4 linked regions of the Caenorhabditis elegans genome follow. The protein of the gene in region 1 purifies or fractionates together with the protein of each later gene. This does not show direct contact. Each region holds a gene or a part of one and is shown in the gene's direction. Other genes may lie near its edges.

What was found.
Region 2: the proteins of dnc-4 (region 1) and dbr-1 fractionate together in Caenorhabditis elegans (co-fractionation; one large-scale study listed by BioGRID). This does not show direct contact.
Region 3: the proteins of dnc-4 (region 1) and dnc-5 fractionate together in Caenorhabditis elegans (co-fractionation; one large-scale study listed by BioGRID). This does not show direct contact.
Region 4: the proteins of dnc-4 (region 1) and arp-1 fractionate together in Caenorhabditis elegans (co-fractionation; one large-scale study listed by BioGRID). This does not show direct contact.

Annotation. Positions count from the first base shown.
Region 1 is NC_003282.8:8,015,695-8,022,192, reverse strand, and holds dnc-4 (Dynactin subunit 4), read left to right. Parts: upstream 1-2,384; 5' UTR 2,385-2,404; coding exon 2,405-2,508; intron 2,509-2,573; coding exon 2,574-2,701; intron 2,702-2,746; coding exon 2,747-2,864; intron 2,865-2,910; coding exon 2,911-3,343; intron 3,344-3,387; coding exon 3,388-3,629; intron 3,630-3,673; coding exon 3,674-3,890; 3' UTR 3,891-4,018; downstream 4,019-6,498. Other genes in the region: C26B2.2 (Membrane-associated kinase regulator), read left to right, coding at 198-221, 267-360, 407-546, 593-988; elpc-4 (Elongator complex protein 4), read right to left, coding at 4,060-4,517, 4,568-4,978, 5,054-5,189; C26B2.7 (Cytochrome c oxidase assembly protein COX20, mitochondrial), read right to left, coding at 5,402-5,605, 5,660-5,762, 5,813-5,913.
Region 2 is NC_003279.8:6,488,891-6,496,102, reverse strand, and holds dbr-1 (Lariat debranching enzyme), read left to right. Parts: upstream 1-3,375; 5' UTR 3,376-3,376; coding exon 3,377-3,550; intron 3,551-3,673; coding exon 3,674-4,138; intron 4,139-4,184; coding exon 4,185-4,334; intron 4,335-4,383; coding exon 4,384-4,530; intron 4,531-4,604; coding exon 4,605-4,868; intron 4,869-4,931; coding exon 4,932-5,234; 3' UTR 5,235-5,382; downstream 5,383-7,212. Other genes in the region: uri-1 (Unconventional prefoldin RPB5 interactor), read right to left, coding at 209-556, 614-1,459, 1,503-1,616, 1,742-1,774; mdt-18 (Mediator of RNA polymerase II transcription subunit 18), read left to right, coding at 2,272-2,316, 2,359-2,433, 2,487-2,602, 2,656-2,720, 2,772-3,058, 3,108-3,218; nmtn-1 (CTLH domain-containing protein), read left to right, coding at 7,185-7,212. UniProt on the Caenorhabditis elegans protein: Cleaves the 2'-5' phosphodiester linkage at the branch point of lariat intron pre-mRNAs after splicing and converts them into linear molecules that are subsequently degraded. It thereby facilitates ribonucleotide turnover.
Region 3 is NC_003279.8:2,878,989-2,886,555, reverse strand, and holds dnc-5 (Dynactin subunit 5), read left to right. Parts: upstream 1-3,101; 5' UTR 3,102-3,115; coding exon 3,116-3,232; intron 3,233-4,194; coding exon 4,195-4,528; intron 4,529-5,531; coding exon 5,532-5,635; 3' UTR 5,636-5,680; downstream 5,681-7,567. Other genes in the region: arx-1 (Actin-related protein 3), read left to right, coding at 149-811, 2,597-2,692; Y71F9AL.8 (Myb_DNA-bind_3 domain-containing protein), read right to left, coding at 5,701-5,787, 6,166-6,411, 7,003-7,105, 7,272-7,556.
Region 4 is NC_003280.10:15,116,584-15,124,943, forward strand, and holds arp-1 (Actin), read left to right. Parts: upstream 1-3,717; 5' UTR 3,718-3,725; coding exon 3,726-3,818; intron 3,819-3,893; coding exon 3,894-4,333; intron 4,334-5,099; coding exon 5,100-5,274; intron 5,275-5,324; coding exon 5,325-5,462; intron 5,463-6,201; coding exon 6,202-6,480; 3' UTR 6,481-6,762; downstream 6,763-8,360. Other genes in the region: Y53F4B.23 (Neuropeptide-Like Protein), read left to right, coding at 7,980-8,062.

The DNA of each region.
Region 1 (6,498 bases):
ATGGAGACAACACCTTGAAGAGTAGAAAGATTTAACTGAAATTTTTAATAAATATTGTTTCATTATTTTCATGTTGGATATAAAAATTATTAACTCTTATATCCACGTGATAACCGTTTCAAATTTATTTTCTATACTTGGAAACTTCAAAAAAAATGTATTGTGTATTTTGAATTGATTCATTGTAAACGGTCACAATGACTTCTCGAAAAGCTAAAGAGGTAATTTTTGTGCTTTCAATTAAATGTCAACTTTTAAACTTTCAGAGTGCTCACATGTCTGCAAGTGACATAATATCGACATTCAACGATTTTTTCACGAATTTCCCGGCCAACAAGAGCTTCGACATGACTTACAAAGGTTTGCAATGGCGGAAAATAATTGGAGACCCATTTTAATTTTTCAGTATATCTTAAAGACTTGGCTGATGCAGATGAAGAATTGACTTCCTCGAGACGCAATTCCGAGTTAAATCTGACTGAAAACAAGCCAATCACAATCGCCTCGTGTGGATTTGTTCCTCAAATGATGTCTAGTTCGACTGTGGTAAATCATATTTTTTGCTGGAAAGTTTAATATTCTGAACTTTTAGAAAAACCTATCGCTTTCATCATCGGCAACTAATTTTAACTCGGAAAAGTCTGAGATCGGATCGAAAATCACGATGAACCCTGCAAAACAGGTTCTCAAGGGTAGAAATACTCGCAAGAAGAGGTCAATGGTCGACTTGTCGCAGATTAACAAGATCTTCGGAAGAGACTATAACCCGCCAGCTCCATCTTCAAAATCGCCACCGACTATTTATGTGAACTTGGGAGTTATATATTCTTCGTCCTCTTCTCACGCTTCTGATGCTTCATCCATCAGTTCCCATACGTCCGTTTCGTCTACTTTTACCGAAAAGCAGCACGAATTTGGAAAACTCGTTCCATCTGGGACTGACGGCAGCCTTGAGTTGTTCGTTAAAGTGGCCGATTGTTTTGATTAAAGAAGGCGAATCTCTTGAACTTGAATAAACTTGCAATCTAGTAAATGTTAATTTTTTTGATTTTTGGGAAGAATACACTAAAACGTCGTTTAAGAATATGTTCACTGAGAACCAATTACATTCTTTTGTGCTGAATATAATAGAAAAATGCCTCTCTGACTAGGTCTTAGGATAAACTTGGAAGTATAACAGAAGTTATACTTTATTTTTTTGTGAAAAGATTAAGTAATCAGCTACCAGAATCAAATAAAATTTTGCCGAAGACCTCTGGAAATCTGTAAATTCCGCTCTGAAAATGTTTCTGAAATTCACGGTGTTCAGTGGAAAACTCACTTTTCACGTGAAGGCTAAGCACACAAAAAATTTACAATGTTGTATCGGAGTTTTGACATGAGTATCAAAGGTTCGACAATTTCAGCTTCTCAAATCTCGATCTTATTTTCAGTATACCTTCAAGATTTTGCAGATTAGGAAGGTCTTTTCGCCAAAGTAGTACAACTACTTGTATCACGCCTACCACGATAGCGTGGTTTGGTACGGTTTCACTGCCAGCCCTTTACTCTACCCAACTATCCAAGAAAAACGAGTGAGAATTTCACTGCCAACATATTTGACGAACTAAATATCTCATAGCGAAAACTACGAAACTTTTTTAAATGACTACTGTAGCGCTGGTGTCGATTTACGGTCCCGATTTTCGAAACGAATTACCGTTCGAAAACACTTGTGGCAGAGATTTTATTTTTTTGTTTTATTCGTACTGTTTTGTCATTTTTCTGTTTTCCATTTATATTTTATCGATTAAAAATTATTTCCGTAAATCGACACCAGTACAGTAGTTACTTATGAAAAGAGTTACTGTAGTTTTCGTTACGAGATATTTTGTTTATTTCGCGTCAAATATATATTTTTATAAATATGTTGCGCAATATGCATTCTTAGAATATCGTGTTCCTGTAATAACATACACTTGCGTCGACGACCTGCCAGCCCAATTTTAATTAGTATGTAAAATGCAATCTTCTCCCAAATGAAATCCCTATCCGGATTATAAAATATTAGTTAATTTGTTTTCTAAAATATTTGTAATTGATGTCAAGTCAAAGGTGTTCCATCCTCAATAACCTTCGTATTTATTTATATGCATTTTCAACATTAATTGAGTTTTCCGTATTCCAGTTGTGCGGGTACTAATTTCTCGTGCGAGAGACCATGTTAAAAGGAGAGAGTGCGATACTGTGGCCGAGAAATCTCAGCGCGGCCGAGGGACGAGATCGTGTTGTGAAATAGTTTTTTTTACAAAAATAATTATTTAAGTTTAACATTAATTTTTGTGATTAAAATAACATTAAACTGCTACTTTTTCAAATTTTCGAATTAAAAATTTAACATTTAGGAGCGGTTGCGGTTCTCAATATGAGCGAGTTGCTGCAGTACAGTCGAATCAAATACGAGTGCACCTGTGGAAAATTTCGAACCCTTCCGGACCTTGTTTTCTGCCGATATTGCTTCAAAATTAAGTAAGTTTTTTTAATGGGTAATTGTCTAAAAATAATTGAAAAAAAAAATTAACCAACTTTTCCAGGTGTGATGACTGTAGCTTGGGAGAAGTTGACAATATTTTCTGTCCTCGATGCCTTGAACCATCAAGCGTCCCTGAAGCAAGACTTAAAAAGCATAAATGCGCAAGTTGCAATGATTGTCCTAAGTGTGGTATGATTTATCCACTATTTTGTAAATATATTTGAATATTTTCAGCTAACGTTCTGAGTGCTCGTACAGAAAATGATAATGTATATTTGGTTTGTCAGTACTGTCGTTGGTCTTCAAGAGAAGCGAATCAAGAAGATCAAGAGAATACTAAATCCTGGCCAACGTATGACTAACTGTAAATATGATCTTATGACATTTTATTTATACAGAAAAGAAAATCCATTGGTTAATCAACTTGGTGAGGTGACGGCATACATGAAGAGACTTGAATTGATTGAAAATGCTCCAAAAGATTTGAAAAAGGGAAAATCGGGCAAAGCCTGGACTGCTTTTCACTTGAAAGACAAGTTTGGATTTCAACAAATGGTAGATAAGCGGAAAAAAGCACTGGCTCCTGAAATGAATCCAGTTGATGCACATGCTCCAACAGAAGCGCCGACTCTTGAAGATGAGATTAAAGAAAGAACGGATGATCTGAGAACTCTCGATCAAATCATAATGCAACCATTGATCAATATCTCTGAGCCACTCCTTCCTGTACAAGTTCCTCTGGCTGGAAGAGTTCAAGTTCGATGTGATGAGTGCGAAAGAACTCTTATCAAACGAGACTTCGGAGTTACTACCTTTAAATTTAAAATTTCGGTGAGTAGCTCATTCAACAATAATGTAAAAAGTTTAAATTTCAGTCATTTGCCCGTCAATTTGTTCCTGACATCAGAATGTCTCGACCGGTTGATGATCTTAAAGTTGGGGAGACATCACACGTATTTCTCTCTATTACCAACTTATCATCATCTGCAATGGATTTGACTATCGCACCTCAATCTGGAAATGGTTTCATTCAATGTTCCAGTGATCCAATCCAGCTTCTTCTTCCATCATCGCGAGCATCGGATACTGCTGCTCCTGGAGTTCATGCTGACCAAAGGTTAGTTTTTTCTTGTTTTTAATTGACTAAAAATGGTATTCCAGTGACGTCATCGTGTTCCGACAGCACAACCGAGTTGGCCTTCGACTGGATGTTATTCCCACCGAGATGGATCTCTCTTCTCCATGTCTCAATCTTTTGATTACATATTGTCAGGATGGATCGTTCCGTCTCTCCTCCGCTAGTGACAAAATATTGAAACCAGAAGAAACGTGTCCTGATCCAATTCTCTCTGCTAATTTAAAAGTAGATCTCAGATAATCATTTCATGTATATTTGTTTCTATCCTTTCTCTACCACAGCGTGTCTTTTCTTAAACATAATTTATAAGCTTTGTTAAATATTTAGAAGACGTTTTTATGCTTTAAATTAAATACTTTAAAATTCAACATTCAAACATCCCAACAACAAATAAACATGATCGAGAAAATCAAAAATCAATATTCTGGCAAGATGGAGTATTTTGATGACCTGGAGCTGGCTCATCAAATGCAGGTGGAAGATGCATCACTCGAATTTGGAAACCTTTTCTGGAACTTGCTTCAAAAATAAGATCGAGAATCGGTGGAGTGTGTGTTCCAACGGACATCAATCGGGGCAAACTCTTCAAATGGAAGTATCCATGAGCAGTGCCAAGATGTTTGAACATTTTCTTCTCATTTTCATCAAACGGCATCAGTTGAATATGTGTATCAGCTGCGGATTCCAGTATACGCCAAGTTGGTTTCGGAACTCTGAAGGAGTTAGCCGTGATGTATACAATCATGTAACTCGAACGAGCTAAAGATCGGAGACAGCACAGGAATCGGCCAAGGAACTTGTAATCTTCACAAATTTCCATATCGATATTCTTCAGAACCACTCGAAGAAGATTCTTTTTCGGTCCACCTGAAGTAAAATTCATTAGTTTATGTATAATAATTCAATAAAAATCTCACCTCTTCCGCCGGATTTTGTGTGAGCTTCATTTTCTTTTACAATTTGGCAGAGCGTCTCGTAAATCCCTTTTAGCGTAAAAACTTTCTCCGCATACACGTCAACATTCGGATTCTCTACATGCTTCGTAAAGTCATACTGATTTTCGTTGCTTAATGGTCCAAGGGAAGAGGAAACTTGTTTTACATTTCCATACCGCCACGCAATTTTCATCGAGTTTTCATTTTCTGCCGGCAGAGAATTTGGAATTTCTTGATTTTGCATATCCGTGGATGTTCTTCTAGATGGTATGAGATTGATCTCTTTGGGATCTTCCGTGGGATCCGCAATGAAGCATCGATGACCATGATGAAGTCCTTCTGCGAGGAATGAACGAATGAGATAAGATCCATAGCAACGAGAACGATACTCGTCTGAAAATGAATGTGATTTTAATTTTAGGTTAGCGGGTATTTAATGAACAGGTAGCAACTAAATTAATAAATTACCTATGAGAACAATACTTGAATTAACTAAAGCTCCTCCAATGAGTGTGTCAAATGAATCGCAACCACTTGAAGTTTCCAGTAAGCGTTTCTTTGTTGAACATCCGGCAATTTGAACACTATCACCAACGTTCAACATTCTGAAATTACTTTAAAAATATGAAATATTGATGTTGACCAGGAAATTACGATAAAAATATTTGCAAGGTTATTACCAAACCATAATGTAATTTGAGAAACAGAAAAGAAAAATGAGATTTAAACAAACTAATTATTATTTCTAAAAACAAAAATAGGGTTCTAACTAAAAAATATATAAAGAAACCCGCAATAAAACAATATGAATTATTATCAGACTACTCCAATCTTTTTTCGATCGTCTCCACTCAATTGCAGCTCCTTTCTGAGAGCTTCGCGAGCATCCATTTCCTGGCGTCGACCCATTACCACCTGAGATTTCACTGTTACAAACGCACCGAATCCGACAAGAATAATGATTAGGTAAGCCATCCATGTATTACGATGATTTTTATCGAGGTCATGTCGGCCGACAAGCTGGAAATCAATTTAAATCAGTTTTTAGAATATTCTTCAGTATATATAATTTACCTCTGATCGATAAGCCCATTTCACTTTCTGTCCTTGTATTGTCATTTCGCGATTTTTTTCTGCGCTTTTAATACGAATTTGTTCTTCAAGTAAGTCCATGTTTCTGAAAATTGTTGATTAAAAACTTGAAGGTTTAAAAAAGCATAATCTTACGTAATATCTCTCTGATCTTTAGTTCTGTGAAGCTTTGGATTTTTCACAGGAAGAGTACAGAGATATCGTTCAGTAGGAATACGTTGGATAATGCGAAGCATCTTAAAAAGGAAATTCAAAATAATTTTATAAAATTAATTTCCTCAAAAAAGAGGCCCCACGAAAAGGGGAGCAGAACGAAAAGGGGATCTGCAAAAAGGGGATCTGCGAAAAGGGGAGATACGAAAAGGGGAGATACGAAAAGGGGAGCAACGAAAAGGGGAGCTGGCACTGTGCCAAACGCACAAAACGCAATTTTTCTCACGCAACGCACGTTGATTTTTGAAATTTTCTTCTAGAAGATACGCTTAACAACACGCGACGCGTAACATCGGAGCATCGTTGTATCGTTTTCTTCGAGAAAAATAGCGTTTGGCACAGTGTCAGATCCCCTTTTCGTTGCTCCCCTTTTCGTATCTCCCCTTTTCGTATCTCCCCTTTTCGCAGATCCCCTTTTTTCAGATCCCCTTTTCGTTCTGCTCCCCTTTTCGTGGGGCCTCAAAAAAAAAGATTGTTGAAACTACGAGACTCCGAAATGACGGGCGCGCATGTTGTTTATCGTAAATAATCTAGCTTTTCGCCGCTAATTTTAACATTGTTTTTTTTTCTCATTTTAATTATTTTTTAGTAACTTTTTATCGTATGTT
Region 2 (7,212 bases), on another chromosome or scaffold:
TTTAATTTTATTTTTGAAATATACTAGAACTTTAATGACAATGGGAACGTGATAATTGCTGCCAACTATTAAATGTTAGTTTTCAAACACAGAAAAAGAGATTCTACGGGGGAAATGTTGACCAATGTGGCAAAAGTGTTTAACAGTGAGCATAAAATGATATATAGCTGAACGATATGAAAATTATATAGAAATTAGAAAGTAAAGATCAATTTCTATGCCTGGAAGCTCTGAATTTGGAAACTTTTTTCTCGGTGATGACGGGAGCGGGGTCTCTGCTTGTCGACGGCTCACACTCGTACGGATTCTTCTCAACAATTTCTCCTGGAAATGTCATTGTGCTCATCGCAGCAAGTTCCTTTTGCTCGGGTTCGAGAGCTGAACGATCAACGGGTGTTGGTTCAGTGCTCCGGAGAATTGATTTGGTTTCAATAACTGAATCTTCTTCCTTGATTTCGACAGTGTCTGTTTGATGGAATGTTTTCACATTTTCAAGCTGTTGCGCAAATCGAACTCCCGATTTTTTCCGTTTGACGGTGGTTTTTGTTACGGTTTCCTAAAAATTGTGTGTTAAAATAATAGTGAATTGTTTCTATTTAGTATTTGAAATTACCTCAACAATTTCTTCGACCTTAATCACTTGGGTCTCTATCTTTTTGGATTTCAGTTGTTGGTCAGAATTATTGCTTTTCTCGATATTATCATCAGATGCATAATCATCAGAGTCGAGTTCTTCTACACTATTGTTAAGATTCTCTTCATCATCGTCTCCTTCCTCTTCATCTTCATCATACTCCTCATCGGAACTCTCTTCATCACAAGTGTCTAAGAAATCTAACAGCCGTTCCATTTCCTTCTGTGTTACTCCAGGTTGTGCCAGCAAACGTTCATTCATTCCAAATCTTAGTTTTTTATCAGTTGGATCTTGTTCAACTTCCTCAACTTCCTCTAATTTACCCAAATCCTGTAAATCTTCGTTTGAAACTTCAAAAGGTTTCGGAATTGGAGCTTCTTCCATCTCATCATTGTCTTGTTCCAGTTTCTCTAGTTCTTCCAAACGGTTCATCACATCGTTGTGATCTTGGTCACCATTCAATTTGTTCTTTTCTATTATCTTCTCGTTCTGTTCATCATTTTGAGACATCTTTTTGTTTTTGCGATTTTGATAAAACAGTTTTTCCATCTCTTCATCGTATTTCTCGACAATTTCGATAGGTCCTCCATCAATCGAAACAGATGAGAAATTATCTTGAGCAAACTTTATTTTGTCATCCAACATTCGAATTGAATCGAGACCTTCCTCACGCTGCCTTCTCATTTCAGAAACTCTCCGATCCAAGATCTTTTCAGCTGTATGAATGCTGCATTCTCCGTAATAGTTTGCACCCATTTCCATCGTAACTTGATTCGTGCGAACTACATGGGCACCGCAGAAATAACCGACTTCGCAAATTTTCGCCTAAAAATTAGAATAAGATTATATGAGAGAGAATGTAATTTACCAAAATAGGAGCTTCCAACTTTTTCGAATATTCCTTTGCTCGTTCCAGAACTTTTTCATAGTTATCAGCAATGATTCTTCGACATTCGGTCTCAACTTCGAGCCGAGCTTTAGCCTGAAAAATTAAATTCATACAGACTTAATTATTTTTATACTATTTTAGGGAAACAAACTCGGAATTTAAAAACGAATTATTTTTGTCTTGTCGTTCATAATCATGTAAAAGGATTTTTAATTTACCGCATTGCATTCTGCAACGTAGAGTTCGCTCATTTTTTCAGATAGGTCTTCTTCACTCGTCACAGTCATTTTCTGCAAATCTTAGAGAGGTAATTCGGAGCGGAAAATGGGAAAAAATGTTAAAAAGTAACAATTTCCGAAAGCGCAATTTAAAAAAGTACAAAAAAGTACAAACTTTTATGGAGACACTACTGATTTCTGGAATCTGTTAAATCTTAGAAATGAACTCTTTCAGAATTTCAAACTTCTTTTTTTATATGCGTAAAACTTATCGCATATATTTTATGCAATATTGAAAGTAAGTAGAGTTTTAACCATTAAAGTAACTGAAACCAGAGTTTTATCGTAAAAATGGTAAAATATTCGGGAGTGTTGGTTTCCCTGGAAATGAGTCACGTAGAGTGTGAGTCCGCAAACACCAGCTGTGAATTGCGTAGAATACATTTAATATCACGCTCAAATAGTTTTGAATTAATTTAATTTTTTAAAAACATTTTTTATTCTGTTTATTTAGTTGATTCATTCAAAATATGGACAATTTAGTGGATATTGATGAAGATGGAACACAAGAAAAGGTATTTCGATTGTTAAAATCCATCTAAAACATTTTAATTCAGCTTTCTGTGAATTCAACTCCCTATCAAACACAAGAATGCGTTCTTTATGGATCTATTTTCGCAAAAAATGTCCCAGTTAGTTTTTAAAGTAATTGGACTAAATTCTAATACAAAAGTTTCAACTTTAGGACTTGGAACGACGTTTAGCCGGCCTTTGTGATCCGGGATGTGAGGAATTCTTCGAGCATGAGATGTCATTCAGCCTACGATCTTCGGGTATAATGGATATCAAAACCGATATTAAGTAAGCTTTTTTGTTTATCTATTTAAATATTTGCATGTATTTGATTTTTGAAGATTGCGAAGAAGATTCCGAACAGAACATCGAATTCAAAATTATTGGCAATTAAAGTACATTGGAGGTCGGTTTTAACCTTATAATTCGTATTTTATAATTTTTTGTTTTATTTCAGTTCCGGAACCAGATCAAAAATGCCCAACTATTGTTCGAAAAGAAATCAGTTCACTTGTCCATTCTCAGGATATGATGACGTATGCGAAATCCTTGGGTCTCCGCATGGACTATGAATATATGACACAAGGAAAATTGTGGACAAAAGGAAATATAAAGATTCTGCACTCAATATTGACTAGTACTTCTCGCGCAGGAACATATGATTCAAATTCAATCAAATCTGTTTCTGATTCTGCGTTAGTGGAAATCAGTATCTCATTGCCCGAGTCTGCAGAATACATGCCGGTAGGTTTTTTAGTAATAATTTCGAATTTATTTTTTCAACTCATTTTAGGCTGCCAAGTCTCTTCGTGATTTTGCCGATCAGCTGATGCCACTTGTTAATATGGAAAAAGTCGATTACTGGAAGAAAATGTTCCCAGCTCAAGCAGCTCCTCGTCGTTAATCTTCATTAATTGATTGATCTCACTTTGATACGTTATTTAATTTATAAAATTCACGAAGTATTCAATAATGTTAATATCCCACAAAGCTTCAATGGTTTATACCTTTTATTTTCTGATATCAACATTAAACATTTTTTTACTCCAATGAAAATTTAGAATGTCATCGAAAAATCCAGTAGATGAGCAACCTTGCTGTGGCTCCCATGAAGGTTCGCATCAAGATCCTGCTCCGGAGACGTTAGTAGTTGAAAAAGAAGTTAACAATGGGGAAAAGAAAATACGAATTGCTGTTGTCGGATGCTCTCACGGAGAAATGGATGCTATTTATGAGGTAAAATTTAAAAAAAAATCATATTTTTCGAACAAAATTAATGGCATATTTCAGATCTATTTTCTCTATTAGATTGTTTTAATTGCTATTTAAAATTACAACTATTTAAAAAAAATATTTCAGACAATGACACTAATCGAACAGAAAAATGGCTACAAATTCGATTTGCTGATCTGTTGTGGCGATTATCAAGCTGTCCGAAACTACGGCGACCTTCCACATATGAGTATTCCACCAAAGTACAGAAGTCTTCAAACATTCTATAAATACTATTCTGGAGAACAAAAAGCACCAGTTCTAACTCTATTCATCGGCGGAAACCATGAAGCATCTGGTTATCTATGTGAATTGCCTAATGGAGGATGGGTGGCGCCGAATATTTATTACATGGGATTCGCAAATTGCATTCGATTTGCTAACCTTCGTATCGCAGGACTCTCTGGAATTTTCTCGCAAGGAGATTTTCAATTTTCGCATTACGAACGCCCTTCGTTTTCGGAAAGAGATGTTAAAAGCGCATATCACGTTCGAAACGTTGATATGTTCCGGTTAAGACAATTGAAATCTGATAATGAAAATAAGATATCGGTATAAGCTTGAAAATTACTTTTTTATGAACATTTTCCTATTTTAGAACCCAATTGACATAATGCTCTCACACGATTGGCCTGGAGGTATTCCTGATTTTGGTGATAAGGAATGGCTTTTCCGGAAAAAGGATTTATTTGAAGCAGATCACAATAGTGGCAAACTGGGGAATCCTTCTGGAATGAAACTGATTTATGTATGTTTTTTGGTGATATTTGCAAAATTACTGTATGTATGTATTTTAGGATTGCCGGCCCAGATACTATCTTGCTGCACATCTTCATATTGCTTTTGCGGCCCTTGTTCCTCATAAAGGTTCAGGATCAGGCCGTCCACAGCCTACACGATTCTTATCACTGGATAAACCGATTCCTGGGAGAAAGTTTATGCAGGCAAGTCGTCACGTTCACTTTTTAAACTTCAACATTCAATATTATACAATCGAATAAATTTTTTCATTTTTCAGGCTCTCGAGTTGAATGTTGCAGACGATGCTAAACTGGAACTGTCATATGATCCACAATGGTTGGCTATTCTGAGAAATACAGATTTATTAACAACTGGAACAAAAGAACAGCTGATACTTCCCGATATGGCATCAAATCGTCCATGTGTCTACGAAAGAAAAGATTTTCGACCAACAGCAGAGGAGTTAAAAGAAATCGAAAAACTCGGAGATTTAACAATCAGAACTGACAGTTTCCAACAAACTGCGCCTCCGTTAAAAGAGGTAAGTGTCATCTCAGAATTTCGTGGATCTCTTAAGGATAGTAATTAAAACAACTGTTTACAGATTACGGAATCATCCAAAAATGTGCCACCAAGCGCCTACTACCGTAATCCACAATCTGCCGAGTTTTGTCAGTGGCTTGGTATTCGGGATCTTAATCAGATGCTCGTTGAAAAAACATCTGAACACGTTGGAACTCCGTACTACATGATGACTCAAGACGATGCGAACGCTAAACCAAATCAAGATGACGTGGATTTTGGTGACGAAGATTTTGTAATCGACAGAGGGCACACCTCCGATGAGCCAGAAGCGAAAAAAAGTAGATTGGACGAAGATAAGTTTGAAGCAGTACCATCCGAATGATGTTGAATACTTTACAACGTAGTTTCTAATTGAAGACCACATTGCCAAATATTTATTTTTTTGACATCAAGATATTGCCGTTTGTTGTTGTATACTCTATGTTAACATCTCAAAAAAACTTTAAATTGCCAAAAAAATAAAGCACCTCTCATGTTCACGTTTTCTCACAAACAAATATAGACTATGAAAATGCAGGGAGACTCCCAAATAAAAAAAAGCGGAAGAAGCAAGTCGATGCATTTACAATGGATGCTCTTTTTCCGCTACACTCACTTATTGTTAAACTTTTCCTCGATCTCTTTGACCCAACGTGGACTTCTTCAACGGTTTTATAGAGAATACGGAAGAGCTCCGCCTATATAATGGACGGTACACATTTTTTAAAATTTAACTGTTCCGTTTTGTTTATGGTTTCAAATCTTTAGAGCCTAATTTCTTTAGTAAAATTTATGTTAGGGTTTTCTATTTCAAAGTGCATCCACATATTCTGACGCCTTCCATGAATAGTTACAGTAATCTAATCAAAATCGCTGCAAGACCCGATTAAAAAAACAGAACTACCACTCGGTTTAAAATATAATTGAGCTATTTTACAAAAAATTTTCTATGTACAAAAAAAAACAAACAATTCTCATTCAGTTTTATCCGTTGCAGTAGAGTATCCTCTCCTCCTCTCGTCGATCATTTTCGTACCTTTTCCCTCATTCTCTCCATTTTTTCGAATGAGAAGAGACAGGGATGAATCAGTTGTTTTTTGTTCGTTTTGTTGGTGTGTTCCCATCAAGTACTCTATACTTTTTATTAGTTTCTTTGTTTTCGTTCAAAATTAGAGAGATTTTACGCCAAGGAAAGCCATGGATGAAATTAGTATAACTAGTTCGTATAGTGTTAACATTACCAAAATTCAGAGTAAAGCTTTTTTTTTAAATGTTTGAGTTGATTTGATTTACAGTCGAAAGGTCAGTTACACAGTTTTTTTAAAATTTATTTTTAAATATTTTTACTCGAACATTGTGAAAAAATGCAAGAATACAATTTTAAATACAACAATACAACTATCCCAAATTTGGTAGTTTACCAAAAATTTGAAAATTGTGGATTTAAATAAAGTTTTGGAGTGTTTCGGCTATGTTGGTCTATTATAAAAGTTATTATAAACGTATCCGTACAAAGTATTGGCAGAGAGAGAGGGAGAGAATATATGCAGGGGAGACCCCAATTTTTGGAAAAACAGTTCTGGTACTAATAGTAAGTTATAAAATTTTGAAAAGTATTGGACTTTGAGAATTTTCGAGTATTGCTGCGGATTAAGAGCATTACAATGTTAGAATTTAAAAACTAATACTTTTAAAAAAAGCATATCCTTTGGTCGACTCCAAAATTAAGGTGATACATAGATGAAAACAGAGTTATTGCAATTTTTTGACTGAGAAAAAAAATTCTGCCGAGAATTTTTGAGCAGTTTTACATTTGGTCATTTGTGCACCATAAAAGTGGTTGTGAATGATTTCCCTTTGAGGCATCAAGACTGGTATAATATCCACCCTTTTCAGTCTCATATTGAAGAATTCCAGTAGTACCAATAGGTCTAAATACCTAAATATATGTATCCAGTAATCTCTATGTCAGACGATATCAGAAATAAGATACAGTAAATCAGTCATGATACCATCTGTCCATGTTGCTTCTTCGATTTCTCTATGTCTCCATTTCTTATGTACTATCTCATTCTTCTCTTCTTGACACCATCTGCTCCCTTTATATGGGAATACTCCCCCTACTTGCTCCATCTCTTCGCTTTCTTCTTCACATCGACCCTCTTTTCAGTCTGCGTCTCTATCATCTCTCGTTAAAGCTAGCCCCACTACCAGTTTTCCCCAAAAAGCAGTTAGTTGGTATTTTTCATTATTGTCATTTTCGAGATTTCGCAATAACATTATCCATGCTAAAATGGATAATAGGATCCCGTCGGCTTTAA
Region 3 (7,567 bases), on another chromosome or scaffold:
GCTGGAAATGTCCAACTCCGGCAGTTTGTCGATTTGCCGGAACAAATGGCCATTTTGTAGAATTGCCGAAAATAATTATGCTTTGAGTTTTAGAAAAATTGACAAATTCGAGACTCCTGAGACTTCTAGCAATTTTCAAAATTTGCAGGTGATCGATTCTGGAGACGGAGTAACCCATTGTATTCCAGTTGCCGATGGCTATGTAATCGGTTCCTGTATCAAACACATTCCAATTGCCGGCCGTGACATCACCTATTTCATTCAAAGTCTGCTCCGTGATCGTGAGCACACAATTCCAGCCGAGCAGAGCTATGAGGTGGCGAAGATGATTAAGGAAAAGTTCTGCTACGTGTGCCCGGATGTTATGAAGGAATTTGTAAAGTATGATACGGACGCGGCAAAGTGGCTTCGAACCTACGATGGAATTAATTCGATTACAAAAAAACCGTTTAACGTCGACGTTGGATACGAGAGATTCTTGGGTCCTGAAATCTTTTTCCATCCAGAATTCTGTAATCCAGAATTCACGACACCAATCTCTGATACAATTGACACACTTATTCAACAGTGTCCAATTGATGTTCGTCGTGGACTCTACGAGAATATTGTGCTCTCTGGAGGATCTACAATGTTCAAGGACTTTGCACGGAAGCTTCAGCGTGACGTGAAGCGTCTCAGTGATGGGAGACTTCAGATGAGCGAGACGCTGAGTGGTGGACGGTTGAAGCCGAAGCCGATTGATGTTCAAGTGATTTCGCATAAAATGCAGAGATATGCGGTTTGGTTTGGAGGATCTATGCTGGCGTCCACTGTGAGTTTTTGTCAGTTGGAAATATTTGTAAAAACTATTTTTTTTAATGGAATACTGGAAAAGTTGAGTAAAAATCGATTTTTCTGAATAAAAAACTTTTTTTTTTCACAAAAAAAGCTTTTTCAAAACGGAATAATATGTTTTAAAACGTTTTTTTAATGAAAAAAAAAAATTTTTAAACCACATTTTTCCGGAAAACCTTGAAAAGTGCATCCACTGTGAGTTTTTGTCAGTTGGAAATATTTGTAAAAAATATATCTAAAAAAAGAATATTGAAGAAATACTGGAAAAGTTGAGTAAAAATCGATTTTTCTGAATAAAAAACTTTTTTTTTCACAAAAAACAGCCTTATCAAATGGGAATAATATGCTTTAAAACAGTTTTTAATGAAAAAAACCATTTTTTCCGGTAAACTTTGAAAAGTTGATTAAAAATTAATAAATTGAGCATAAATTTTTAAAAAAAATGAGCATAAATTTTGAAAATCTCAAAAAATTGCTATTTTTTCCGAGAAAATGCATTTTTGACCGAAATTTTGGTACTTTTTTTGCAAAAAATATCAATTCTTTCGTTGAAAATAATTTATTCGAAAATTTGAATGAAAATTAAACTTTTTCACTAAAAAAAACTATATTTTTTGAATTTCGTAAATTTTTTAAAAAAATCGATTTTATTATTTTTTACTAACCAACTAATTTTTCCAACAAAAAAAATTTAATTTTCGATTTTTTCTGTAAAATTCCCAAAAATAATTGATTTTTTTTGAGAAAAATTTCAAAAATTCGGATTTTTATTCGAAAAATTAAAAAAAAAAGTTTTATTCAGAGCTTCGAATGAAATTTCTGAAATTTGTATTCCAGTTACCTCAACAAATTTTTAAAAATTTATATTTTTAATTTTTTGGCAATTTTTCAAAACTTTTTAAAACTCAAAAATATCCAAATTTTCAGTCGGAAAAAAATTGAAAATTTTATTTTTTTTTTGGAAATTTTTGAATTTTTATTCAGAATAAAGTCATAAATTCCCCCGAAATTTGAAAGTGAAAAAAATCAAAAAAAAAAAAATTAGATTTCGAATTTAAGAAATAAAAAAATTTCACTGAAAAACTATGGTTTTTGAAATAAATAAAGCACTATTTCTGAACAAGTTTTGAAAATTCAAAAAAAAATCGATTTTTACTAGCCAACTAATTTTTCCAAAAAAAAAATCTAATTTTTGATTTTTTTTTCTTTGAAATTCCCAAAAAAAAGTCAATTTTAAGTTTTATCCGGAAATTATATTTTTAATTTGTTTTTCTTCAAATTTGCAAAACTTTTTGAAACTCAAAAAATTGAAAATTGTTTTTTTTTTTGGAAACTTTTTAAAAAATTTTTATTCAGAATAAATTAAATTCTCCCGAAATTTAGTGAAAAAAAACTGTAGATTTCGAATTTAAATTAAATTTTAAAAAAATCGGTAGAATTCGAAAAAAAACAAATGTTTCCGATTTTTTCCAAAAAAAAATCTAATATTTGATTTTTTTTTTTGAAATTCCCAAAAAAGTCAATTTTAAGTTTTTGAGAAAAAATTGAAAAAAAATTTTATTCGGAAATTATATTTTTAATTTTTTTTTGGCAATTTTTCGAAACTTTTTGAAACACAAAAATAGCCAAGATTTCAGTCGGAAAAAATTGAAAAATGAAATTTTTTTTGGAAACTTTTTTAAATTTTAATTTAGAATCAATTAAATTCCCCCAAAATTTAGTGAAAAAATCACCAAAAAAACTATCAATTCCAAATTTTCAGTCGGAATTCTACCAAGTTTCACACACAAAGGCCGAATACATGGAGAGAGGACCATCGATTTGTCGTTACAATCCAGTTTTCGGAGCTCTTACTTAATTTTTTTTCTCCATTTTTTTGTATTTTTTCCCTATATATTTTCTCCAATTTTAATCCCTTCTCCACGTTTTTTTCTCTCTAATTCCCGAAATTTTTGAACACACATTTCACTTTTTTTCATCTTATTCTGGGCGATTCGTGTATGTACTTATTATTTTTATTTCCAAAAATTACCAATTTTTTAAAACCTTTTGAACGAAAAAATTCTCGAAGAAATTTGATTCCTGCGCCCCCAATTTTTTTTCTTAAATTGTGTTTTTTTGCATGACTATTGCTTTAATTTATTCCCCCGTTATATATAAATTCCCTTATTTTTGTAGTCTTTTTGGAGAAAAATTCCGCTCGATTTGAAAAAGTAGAACTCTTTTGTGATATTTTTGAATTTAAAAAAAAACTAGAAAAATTTCAGACGCTGATTTTCAGATGGATCTTCCAATTGTCTACTACGATGAGACGGAATGGGCGAAGACGCATACGGGAAATAAAGTGAATAAGAAGCATGCAATTGCTGGAACACAGAATATTTTAATTGCTGGAAAAGTGAGAATTTTTGGAAATTTTTAGAAAAAATTCAGTGTTTTCCAAGTATTTTGAAAAAAAAAAGAAATTAAAAAAATAGCGCAATATAATTTTTCTAGATTTTTGGAATAAGCTATACAAATTTTTTGGCAAATTCGGCAATTTGCCGGAATTTAAAATTTCTGGCATATTTGCCAAACCGGCAATTTGGAAAAAATTTAAATTTTCGGCAAATCGGCAAATTGGCAATTTACCAAAACTTAAAATTACCAACAGTTTGGCGAAAATTAAAATTTCTTGAAAATTCGGTAAACCGGCTGAAGATGAAAATTCCGGCAAATCAGTAATTTTCCGAAAATGAAAATTTCCGGCAAATCGGCAAGTGGGCCGGAATTGAGCATTTTAGGAATATTCGGCAAACCGGCAAATATGCCAAATATTCAAACTTCCGGCACACTGGCAATTTGCCAAAAATTAAAATTTCCGTAAATTTGCGAGAAAAAAAAATTTCCGGCAATTTTCCAAAAATTAAAATTTCCGACAGACCGGCAATTTTCCGAAAATGAAAATTTCCGGCAAACTTGACAAACCGGCAATTTGCCGGAATTTAAAAATTCCGGCAAATAGGCAATTTGACAAAAATTACAATTTTCGGCAAATCGGCAATTTTCCAAAAATGAAAGTATTCGGCAAACCGGCAATTTTCGAAAAATTGAAATTTTCCGGCAAATAAGCAATTTGTCAAAAATTGAAATTTTCGGCAAACGACAAACCGGCAATTTGTAAAAATTTAAAATTTCCGGCAAACCGGCAATTTCCCAAAAATTCTAATTTTTGGCAAATTCGGTAAACTGTCAAGTTGCCAAAATCTAAAATTTCCGGCAAATTCGGCAAACCGGCAATTTTGGTACACCGGCAATCTGCCAAAAATAAATAGCCGCCCACCCCTGATTTGAAACATCAAAAAAAGTGAAATTTTGCAGACAATAATCGAGGAAGGAGTGACAATTCGCGGTGATCTGGCGACAGTTAAAATTGGAAAATATTGTGTTCTAAAGTCTCGATGTAACATCCGTCCATGCATGAAAATATTCAGCAAAAAACCAACAATGTGCAACGTTATGATTGGTGATTATGTATTTATTGAAGAAGAATGTGTCGTCAATGCCGCTCAAATCTACGCATTTGTACATCTTGGAGCTCGTGCGGTGCTCGGAAATGGTTGTGTGATTCGAGAATGTTCGAGGGTTCTTCCGGATACTGTAGTTCCAGCGGACGCACTTTTTCCACCGTACTCAACGATCGGCGGGAATCCTGGTCAGTATGCCGTCGAAAAAGCGAAAATTTGAAATTTTCCTAATTTTTTTGAGAGCCGGAAAATCGAAAAACTGGAAAAAAAACGTTTTTAAAAGCACAAAAATTGCCTGTGATGATTGAAAAATTGGAATTTTGACGGAAAATCGAAAATTCCTAATTTTTCGAACTTTTTAAGTAGGAAAAATCGAAAAAACTGGAAAAATTGAGAAATTTCTTTCAAAAAACATTTTTAAAAAAACTGAAATTATTGAAAAATTGGAATTTTGGCGAAAAATCGAAAATTATCGATTTTTCTTATTTTTCTTATTTTTCTGAGCTCCCTAATTTTCAAAAAATGGTAGAATCGCTGTGTACTCCCCGAGGAGAAGTTTTAATTTTATTCTACAGTAAATTTTCAGTTTTTGACTCGATTTTTTTCATTTTTGGACCATTTTAGGCTTTTCAGTTTAAAAAAGGAAAATTAGAAAAAATTTAATGAAGATTCAATTTTTATTTTAAAAAAACACATTTCTTTGAAAAAAAATGGCCGGATATTATCGAAAATTTGAATTTTTTACCAAAAAATCTGAAATTTTTTTTTGGATTTTCTAGAAAATAAAACTTTCAGAAAAAAATGCAGATTTATCAGAAAGAATTTCTCAAAAATTTGAAAAAAATTTCCGAAAAATCGTACTAATCGAAAATTTAAAGTTTTTTTTTTAATTTTTAGAAAAAATTAAAATTTTCAATAATCTCCGGTAGTTTCTTAATTTTTTTTGGAAATAAATGTTCTTTAAATTTCTCGATTTTCAAAAAAAAAATTTTTTTTCCAAAATCGATCATTTTTGCTGAAAACTGATTTTTAAAATTTTGAAAAAAAAAACCTCCTCGAGGACTACACCGGCAGTTCTTCCATTCTCCAAGAAATTTTTGAGCCGCGAAAAGAAAATGAAATTTCCGGCGAATTCGGCAATTTTCCAAAAATTGCCGGAATTTTTCCAAAACAAAATCAACTCTTTTTCAGCTCAAGTGGTCGGCACTGAACCCCGTTGCACCGAGAACCTGATGATGGAGGCCATAACGATGTACTATGATAATTTCGTACCGAAACAACGAGCTATCGCATAATTTTATTGTAAATAAAACGGGATGATTTCAATAAATAATTCTTAACATTGGAGGGGCGAGCATGATCAACAATGAACAATATAAAGTGGCAACAATTTGATGGACATTTCCAAAACTTTGTTCATTAGCAGAATGTAGTTGTCGGTGGACTCCTGGAAATTTAATTTTAATTTTTTGAAAGGATTTTAATTTAAAATACTCAAAAACTAGTCCCAAATGCCAAAAAAGAAAAAAAAACGAAAAAATTCGGATTTTTTACGCCTAATTTGAATTCTCGCGCTTTTGTCTCTAAGTTCCGCCTATAAAAACCGTGCCGCACTCTGGTTTTTTCAATTTCGACACAGATTCCTGTTTTTTTTTTCTAATTTTCAATAATTGTTTAACATTGCTGACCGTATTCTTAATTGAAAATTAGAAAAAAAAACAGTGCGGCACGGTTTTATGGGCGGAGTTTAGAGACAAAAGCGCGGCGATTCAAGTAAAAAATTCAGGTAAATCGAGAAGTTTTCAATTTCTCGGAATAAACTCACATCAACACAAACTGTCACATAATACTCAAAAAATTGGAAAAAGCAAAAAACGGCACGAATGATATGCTGATTGGTGAATCTTTTGTGTAGCTCTTCGCGTATTTTACGGAAATATTGCATGCGAAGGTGGTTTTCAGTGAACTTTTTGACATCAATCATTATCCAATCGGCTTTATTTGGATCGTCGAACATTTTTCCGTACAGGTGGTCTAGATTTTGTTGGTTCTCGAGTTCAGCGAACATTTTCTGAAAAAAAAGAAACTGTATTTTATACGAAATTGTGTCATTTTTAGGGCCAAAAATTCCAAACCAATCAGCGAAGGTGGGCGGAGCCAGGCGCTGATTGGTTTGAAGTTCCTCTCCGATTTTTAATTTTTTTTTCCAAAAAAAAAACGAGAAGTTCCGTTTTAAGTGTTTGCTTAAAGCCAAAAACCGGAAAAAAATGTTTTTCTTTTCTAATTTTCACAAAATCAAAGAAAATTAGTGTTTCTCTTATTATCCAGACGCGAAATTTCGCACCAAAAATACGGTAGCCGGTCTCGACACGAAAATTTTTGTCGAACACAAAAGGGTTTGCGCCTTTAAAGAGTACTGTATTTTCAAACTACTCTTTTCTGAGGAGTTTTCATAGCTTTTCGATTAAAAAAACACACGACTTTGAGAAAAACTGAAAAATTGGTGGAAAATTCCACAGCTACAATAGTTCGAAATTACAGTATTCTTTAAAGGCGCACAACCGTAAAAATTGATTGAAAAAAAAATTGTCGTGTCGAGACCGGGCACCGTATACGACCGTACTTCACATTTAAAGGTACATGCATCTTATCTTTGCTGTACCTTATTGAAATCATTATTTTCAACAGTCTGTCGGATCAAATCGTTAATTGCTTGAGCTGCTTGGCCGGCTATTTTTCGCATTTCCGTCTTCCAATTGTGTGATCTGAAAATATTTCCTCAATTTATTTATTTCCTGCTGCAGAAAAAATGAGAGAAAAAAAAGTTTTTTTTTAATTTAAAAAAAAATCGATGTTTGTTGGTTTTTCGGAGCAAAAACTAGTTTTTTTGGCAAAAAATTCGATTTTTTGTGACATCTGTGGAGTATTCACCTCTGTGGAGGCTCTTCTTGTGGAGGCTCTGGCTCCACAATTGTCGAAGCACAAGAACTTTCGAACACATCACGGGATAACTCATCATTTCTTTCGATCCGTTGAGTTCTTGCTCCAGGACTTTTTGTTTTGCCCAATTGTGCTGCGCTGGTCGTCGGAGCCGTCGGAGCCGCTTGAAGCTCCAAGCTTGCGACCTTTTGCACCTCAATTTCAGAATTTTTCTCCACCGGGCGGCTTGCAACTACTTGCACGATTTTCACGGTTTTTACTGCCAAATTTCGAATGCTAAAAACATT
Region 4 (8,360 bases), on another chromosome or scaffold:
TGCCCAAAAAAAAAGGCAAACACTCATTGACTACCTTCTCTTTGACTACCTTTGCTCATTGACTACCTTTTGCTCATTGACTACCTTTCGGCTCATTGACTACCTTCAGTTGCTCATTGACTACCTTTATCTAATTTTTCAGAATTTTCAGTTTTTTTCGCTAAAAAATCAGAATTTTCAAAAACATGTTACTTTTTGATGTCTAAGAAGGTCGTGCACTTTCTCATTTCCTGAAATTCCGGAAAAAATGGAGATGAGATCTGATGTATAAATGCTCATTGACTACCTTCAAATGCTCTTTGACTACCTCTATCTAATAAAATTTTCCAAAATTTATTTTTTTGAAAATTTTTCAAAATTTGATCAGATATTATAGAAAAGTGCAATTTTTGTCGTTTTTCTAGTTTGGATGTTCTGCACACTATTGCAGACGAAAACCTGAGGTAAAGTAGAACCCCTAAGCTCAAAAAACGCACTCACTTCGGATGCTGATATCTCCGTGGGAAAATTTTTAAGACAAAGTAATAAACTACAAAGTTGTATATCTTAATCTAAAGTACAAGGTAGTCAATGATATGAGGTAGTCAATGAGCAAAGGTAGTCAAGGCTGGGAGTGTGTTTAGAAGTGACCTTTGCAGTCCTCAATACCATTAGAGAAAAAGTAAAAGTCAATTTTCCTCACGTTATTAAAAATAAGAAAAAAAAAAAAGAAAAAAAAAACAATTTCTATCCCAATTCTTTTCAAAACTACAGTTTCGGCTCGATATACCAATGAAAGAGCACAGTGTAAACTTATTTTCAAAGTTCTCACGGCGACTCCAATCACTCTACATCAATATAAAACTGAAATTTTAAAAAGGAACCCCAAATGAAAGACAGCGTATGAATTTCACTAAAATACCAACCGATGACTAGTGATTTCGATCCCAATTCTTTTTAAAACTACAGTTTCGGCTCGATATATCAATGAAAGAGCACAGTGTAAACTAATTTTCAAAGTTCTGATGGCATCACCAACCATCAAATTACATCAATGTCAACACATCAAAATACAACGGAACATTTGAAGACTAGAAGGCCACTCGAATGAGTGTTGAGTGGGCCTCGAGAACCACCATCGGATAACACCTCGAGCGCAATCAACGGTTGGATTGTCCTGCTCTTGTCGACGAAGGACATACAAACGGAAAACCACAGTAAGTTTGCCAGAAGGATCATAAACAGTTCACAAGTCAATAGTATTCTAGGACCTTCCCCCGAATTAGCAGAAAAATAAAAAGAGTTGCCCAGGAACACATGAGTGAAATTGCCCAGAATTAGATGTGGTCAATCAATGATGATCCTATACGGCAAAATTAACAGGGAATACTCCACCTGTATTTGGAAAGCGTGGAGATGTATCCGGAAGCACGCTGTGCATGCTAGCCTTCACTTTTTAACCCCCGCTCAAGCGGATAAAACTATGAACCAAACCCAAAATCCGTGGCACTCTATTACTACTATTAAAATAGAACTGGAATATCGAAAGCGGAACCCCAAATCAAAGCAAATAAGGAACAAGAAAAGGAAATGTGACAATTCTTCCATTTTTGAATATTCAAACTTCGGGGGATCCAGGACTCAAGCCACTCTCGCCTGTGTCCTCCATCTTTCCATTTAGAGCAAGTGTTATCGGATTTTTGACTGATAAGATGCCTATTAGGTAGGCACAGCAGGCTCGGAGGAAGCCGCCCCCCCCCCTAAATGCCCACCAACAAGTCTACAAAATGACCCAGTGTAGTATGCACTTCCGATATTTTTCATTAAACCCACCGCGGCAATGCAATTTCGAAGAGATCCACCACGAGTGTTCCCGTTTTCCAATAATGACTCCTTCAAAACGACGACAATTTGCATGTGGAGCGAGTGTTCTAAGGAATTCCAGGGATCTTCTGATTGCAAAAACTGTTTCCGGAGCTGAAATACATAACAAAATTATTTCAAATTCCCCTCGGTAAATATATGTATTCTTTTAAACAAGCTGAAACTCACCCTAGTCTTTCAGGACTTTCAATAAATAGAGTTCTTCGGACCACATCGACAACAGTCGGCCATTAACCAGTACGTCTGTTTTTCATTTCTCTCGCCAAAATTTTCATATGGTGCAATTGTAGTCGGAGTCTTGACAACAGATTGACAAACTTCTATGTGTCATGTAGATGTCCTCCTAAATTAAAAATTGTTAAAATGTGGCAGAAGACACATGCGCAATACCTCAAACATGTCATCACTCAATTCCGATCCAAACTACGATTATCTGATGTTTTCGTATCCATTGTCTTTATCAGAACTTCCTTTAGTCATGCGAGCTGGTACTTGTACTGGCGTGGTGGTCACTGAAAGTAAATGAAATTTCTGTCGGAATTTGTGAGAAAAAATGAAACATGTTTAACTTTGCAAAGCTACAAAAGATTATTTCGATAAACAGTTTTCAATTATGGAAAAAGAAACGAGCAGAAAATATGAAAGCAACAAGGATTTGAAAGCAGAAAACAATAAAAAAAAACTGTGCACCACAACGGTCTGCAGACAGCACTCTATTGTGAGAGACGCCGAGAGAGGGAGGAAGAGGGCCATGTTGCGCAGAGATCACAACACTGCGGGCACTGTGCCAAGTATCATTCCGGATGGGAGACGTGTGTGTGTGTGTGTAGTATAGACGACAAGATTAAAAAACAATGCAAGAGGCGTTTGTTTTTGTAGATCACACGTAGATCACAATGTATTTGTAGATAACAATAAAACAGAAATACGATTTGAGAGATAAATAAACTGTGATCTACGCAAAATTTACACAGAAACTGCTGAAAGTGATGACTACTGTATACGGTTCGAGAAACTTTCGAGAAACTTTCCCCAACAACTTTCTCCAACTTTGGACAACTTTCGGCGAAGAAATACAAGATAGGATATTCAAATGAATGAAAAATGTTTTTTGGTTTTATCAACTTACTTTTTGGTTCAGGTTTTTTTTTCTAGCAAGCCATTTTGTTTTCAAATGCTAATTTGTCTTGTATGTAGTTAATAAACTTCTATTTTCGGTGAACAAAATCTCGAAAACTTCATTTAAAACTTGAAATTCATCAATTCCCACTGCAAACTGCGTATCGGAATTCGGAGTCTCGTTTGGCCACGCCCACTTTGTTGTTTGAACTTCAATTTTGAAATTAACAGTTTAGAGCTCTAATTAGAGCTATATATTGCAAAATATTTCCAATGTTTTGGTGATTAAAAACTGTAACACATTTTAAATAAATATTTTTATGGAAAAATTTCCAAAAAAATCCATGAAAATTCCACAGCAACGGAAGTTTGAAATTACAGTACTCTTTAAAGGCGCGCGCGTAAGAGGATTGCTTTCTTTTTGCTCAGGTCCGCATCGAATCCTGTTGTAATATTTTGCCAGAAGTATAGGTGCATGTATTCTTATTATACTATTGGAAAATCAATAGTTTCCGATACTCTCGCTATGTATTTGTTCAGCCTCTGTCCTCCAAAGTACAAAACCCCCATTTCTCCGCGCAAATGATGCATTGTCCGCAAACACGGCGGCTGCAACTCTGCGTACATTTCGCAACTCTCATTTAATTTTGTTTCCACAGAAAATGCCAATTAATCCGGGGTTTTTTAATTGTTTCAAGCTCAAATTTTGGTTAAAACTGTTATTTTATCTTTCAGGTTACAAAATGGACTACGACGTCATCGCCAATCAGCCTGTGGTCATCGACAATGGCTCCGGAGTCATTAAGGCTGGTTTCGCCGGAGAACAGCAGCCAAAGGTAGGCAATAACGAATCAAAACTTGAGATTTTTGAATTTTGAATTTTAAATCATCTTTTAATTCATTTTTTACAGGTTCGCTTCGCCAACTTCGTCGGACGACCGAAATATCACAGAGTAATGGCCGGAGGGCTCGACGGAGACATTTTCATCGGACCAAAGGCCGAATCAAACCGCGGGTTGTTCTCAATCGAATACCCAATGGAACACGGAATCGTCAATAACTGGAGCGATATGGAAAAAATTTGGGAGTACATTTTCGGACAGGATCAGCTGAAAATCTTCCCAGAAGAGCATCCAGTTCTGCTCACCGACGCCCCATTGAATCCGTTGAAGAACCGCGAGCGATCTGCTGAGATCTTCTTCGAAACGTTCAATGTTCCAGCGTTATATATTCAAATGCAAGCTGTGCTATCGCTGTACGCCACCGGAAGAACGACCGGAGTCGTTTTGGATTCAGGAGACGGAGTCACACATGCTGTTCCGATTGTTAAGGGATTTGCAATGAAGCATGCGTCAGTAAACTCTGGGAAATTGCTTTAAAACACGCCTATGTGGTCACAATGACCGAATATCATGATAAAAAAATTCAAAAAAATTTTCTAGATTTTATATGATTTTTTTTTTTTGAAAGTTGCGAAAATCCCAGTTTTCCCCTAATTCCGGTTTGAATTTCCGCCATATGAATTCGTTCGCTGGAGCGCACTTGCATTTCATTTTATTTTTTCTCATTATTTCACTGGTTTTTCTTCATTCTTTGTGTATTTTTATCGGAATAAGAGAGAAAAATTCAAGATAAATTGCAAATTATTTATTTAAAAATCACTGAAAATGCGTAAAACTGTAAAATTATGAGTTCCGGCGATAGCAAACCTGAAATTAGCTTAGTTCACAGTTTCACCCATTTTCAGTGATTTTTAAATAAATAATTTGCAATTTATCTTGAATTTTTCTCTCTTTTTCCGATAAAAATACACAAAGAATGAAGAAAATCAGTGAAGTAATGAGAAAAAATGAAATAAAAATTTAAATTAATAAAAATAATGCAAGTGCGCTCCAGCGAACGAATTCAATTGGCGGAAATTCAAATAGGAATTAGGGGGGAAAACTGATATTTTTGCAATTTTCAAAAAATCATATAAAATCAGGAAAATTTTTTTGAATTTTTTAATCATGATATTCGGTCATTGTGACCACATAGGCGTGTTTTAAAGCAATTTCTCCATTGGGCGCACTCCACCTTTAAAAAAAGCATTTAATTCTAAAATTTCCTTTTTTCAGAATTCAACGAATGGATTTGGCGGGTCGCGATGTCACCGAATACCTCCGAGTCCTTCTGCGCAGAGAAGGATACGAGTTCCACAGGAGCAATGAGTTCGAAATTGTCCGAGAGATGAAGGAGAACGCGTGCTATTTGGCGTTGGATCCGACGAAAGTGGAGAATAATTCAGTGAAAGTAGTGATTTTTTTTGCAGTGAAAATGAGCTGAAAATCGCATTCTTTCAGTCATCCTACGCTCTGCCAGACACCACGAAAATCGAAATCTCCAACTCATTGTTCCGTGCGCCGGAAGTGCTCTTCAAGCCGGATTTGATCGGAACCGAGTGGCCTGGAATGGCACATGTTGTCAATCAATCAATTATGGTAGGCTCACAGCCTGCTCGGACGAAAAATCACTTTTTCAGACATTTTTGCTTAATTTTTGGTGGAATTTCGTTGGAAAATATTAATTGGCACATAATATTGCTATTTTAAGTGCACATTTTTCATCTTTTAGACTTTTTAACTTGATTTTTCGTTTTGGAAATGTTTTAGCTCTTAAAGTAGAACAAAAATCGAAATTTCTACAAGATTACCATATAAATATCAATTTTCTGTTGAATTTTACCCAAAAAATGCGAAATTTCTTTAAAACGAGCCTAGCCAAGTGATTTTATCGATTTTTATCTTATTTTCCACCGATTTTTCACGTTTTCAGTGTATTTTTACAGGAAGTTTGAAGAAAAGTCAAGAAAAATGCGAATTATCGATTAAAACTCAACATTGAAGGTTTACGCCTTCAACGCTGATTTTTAATTGATATTTCGCATTTTTCTTAACTTTTCCTTCGAATTTCCAGTAAAAAAATACTGAAAACATGAAAAATCGGTAGAAAATTAAAAAAAAAAATCGATAAAACCACTTGGCGCGAGGTTTAAATTTTTTAAAGCTATTTTTCAATTTTTAAAAATCATATAAAATTTAGAATTTTTTTTTCTATGATATTTAGCCACTGTGATATCAGAGGAATTTTTTTAAATAAATTTTCAGTTAAATTTTAGCCAAAAAATGCGGAATTTCTAAAAAAAAAAAACACCCATCAGCTCAAACTAAATATTTCCAGAAATGTGACGTGGATCTTCGACAAACTCTGTACAGCAACATCGTGCTGAGCGGTGGAACGACGTTGTTCAAAGGATTCGGCGATCGTTTGCTGGGAGAAATGCGAAAAATCGCGCCCGCTGACGGAAAAATTCGAATTTCCGCGTCGCAGGAACGAAATTCGCTCACATGGATCGGCGGTTCGATTGTCGCCAGTTTGGACACTTTCCGAAAAATGTGGCTCGGAAAGAAGGAGTACGAAGATATGGGAGCGTCGGCGATGCACAAGAGATTCTTCTAAATATTGAATTTTTTCCCTTTTTTGCTCACTTTTCATCGTAATTTATTTGTTTTTTTTGCATATTTTCCCCCTTTTTCTCCCTAATTTGTTCCATTTGGCGCTGGCTCAAAAATTCTTCAAAATTTTCTCAAAAATAGGCGACCTTCTTCAAAAAATGTTATATAGCCCGATTCTCTGGACATAATTATTCAATTTACCCCCTCCTCCCCCAGTTCCGTGTCCCACTATCTGCTTTATGCCTGTTTCAATTATTATTTTTTATATCTAAACGATTCGATTTTTATGGAATTCTTCAATGCAATTTATTACAGGTTCCCGGCAGCTCAATGGAGCCGCTGCGTCAGGCGGAAACTGTGCAATTTTAAGACATGAGGAAAATATTTTTAAAAAAAACTTTACGGAAATTTTCCGAATTGCCGATTTGCCGGAAATTTCAATTCCGGAAAATTTGCCGGAAATTTGCCGATTTGCCGGAAGTTTCAGTTCCGCAAATTTGCCGGAAATTTTCAATTCTGGAAATTTGTCGATTTGCCGAAAATTTCAATTCTGGAAGTTTGCCGATTTGCCGGAAATTTCAATTCTGCAAATTTGCCGATTTGCCGGAAAATTTCAATTCTGCAAATTTGCCGATTTGCCGGAAATTTCAATTCTGCAAATTTGCCGATTTGCCGGAAAATTTCAATTCCGGAAATTCGCCGATTTGCCGGAAAGTTCAATTCTGGAAGTTTGCCGATTTGCCGGAAATTTCAATTCTGCCAATTTGCCGGTAATTTCAATTCTGGAATTTTGCCAATTTGCCGATTTGCCGAAAATTTCAATTCTGGAAATTTGCCGATTCGCCGGAAATTTCAATTCTGCAAATTTGCCGATTTGCCGGAAAATTTCAATTCTGCAAATTTGCCGATTTGCCGGAAATTTCAATTCTGCCAATTCGCCGGAAATTTCAATTCAGGAAATTTGCCGATTTGCCGGAAAATTTAAATTCCGGAAATTCGCCGATTTGCCGGAAAGTTCAATTCTGGAAGTTTGCCGATTTGCCGGAAATTTCAATTCTGCCAATTTGCCGGTAATTTCAATTCTCGAAATTTGCCGATTTGCCGGAAATTTCAATTCTGCCAATTTGCCGGAAATTTCAATTATGGAAATTTGCCGGAAATTTGCCGATTTGCCGATAGCTAACGGAATCTTCATTTTTTGAATTACACATATTCCTCCAATTGAGTAAATATAAAAGTCAGATTTTTCAAAAAACTACAACCTATAACTACAAAAAAGTCACACACACACACACCTCTTCTAGTTCCCTGTGATTTTGGTCTCTACGCTCTGAAATGGAGATGAGGTCATTTTTGGAGATGAAGAGATGATAGCAATAAGATGCTATTTACTTCATTTCGAAACTGGTTTTTCACCAATTTTTTTTTATTCTGCAAAAAAATATCATTTTCCGTTTTTTTGATAGAATTGAATCCCATTGGACTTCCGATAGACCGGCCGCGATGAAAATTTCTTTGATTTTTATTGCTTTCATTGCGATTTGTTCCAGCACAACTGTCTATAAAGTTAGGAAGGTGATTCGGAGGTGAGATGGATTAATAATTGAAAAAATAATCAAGTGAGTCTCAAATTAAGTTTATTCTCTGTATTACCGGGAACAATAAATCATGAGAATGCGTACGTGGAGCATTCTATTTGACGCGCGATATCTCTTACCGAAAACTACAGTAAGAACTTAAATAGCAATAGTTATTTGAGTTCTTACTGTAGTTTTCGCTAAGAGATATCGCGCGTCAAATAAAATGCTCCACGTACGCATTCTCATGATTTATTGTTCCCGTAATAATTCTACAAAATTGGTCGGTTGCACCATGTTATTCCAA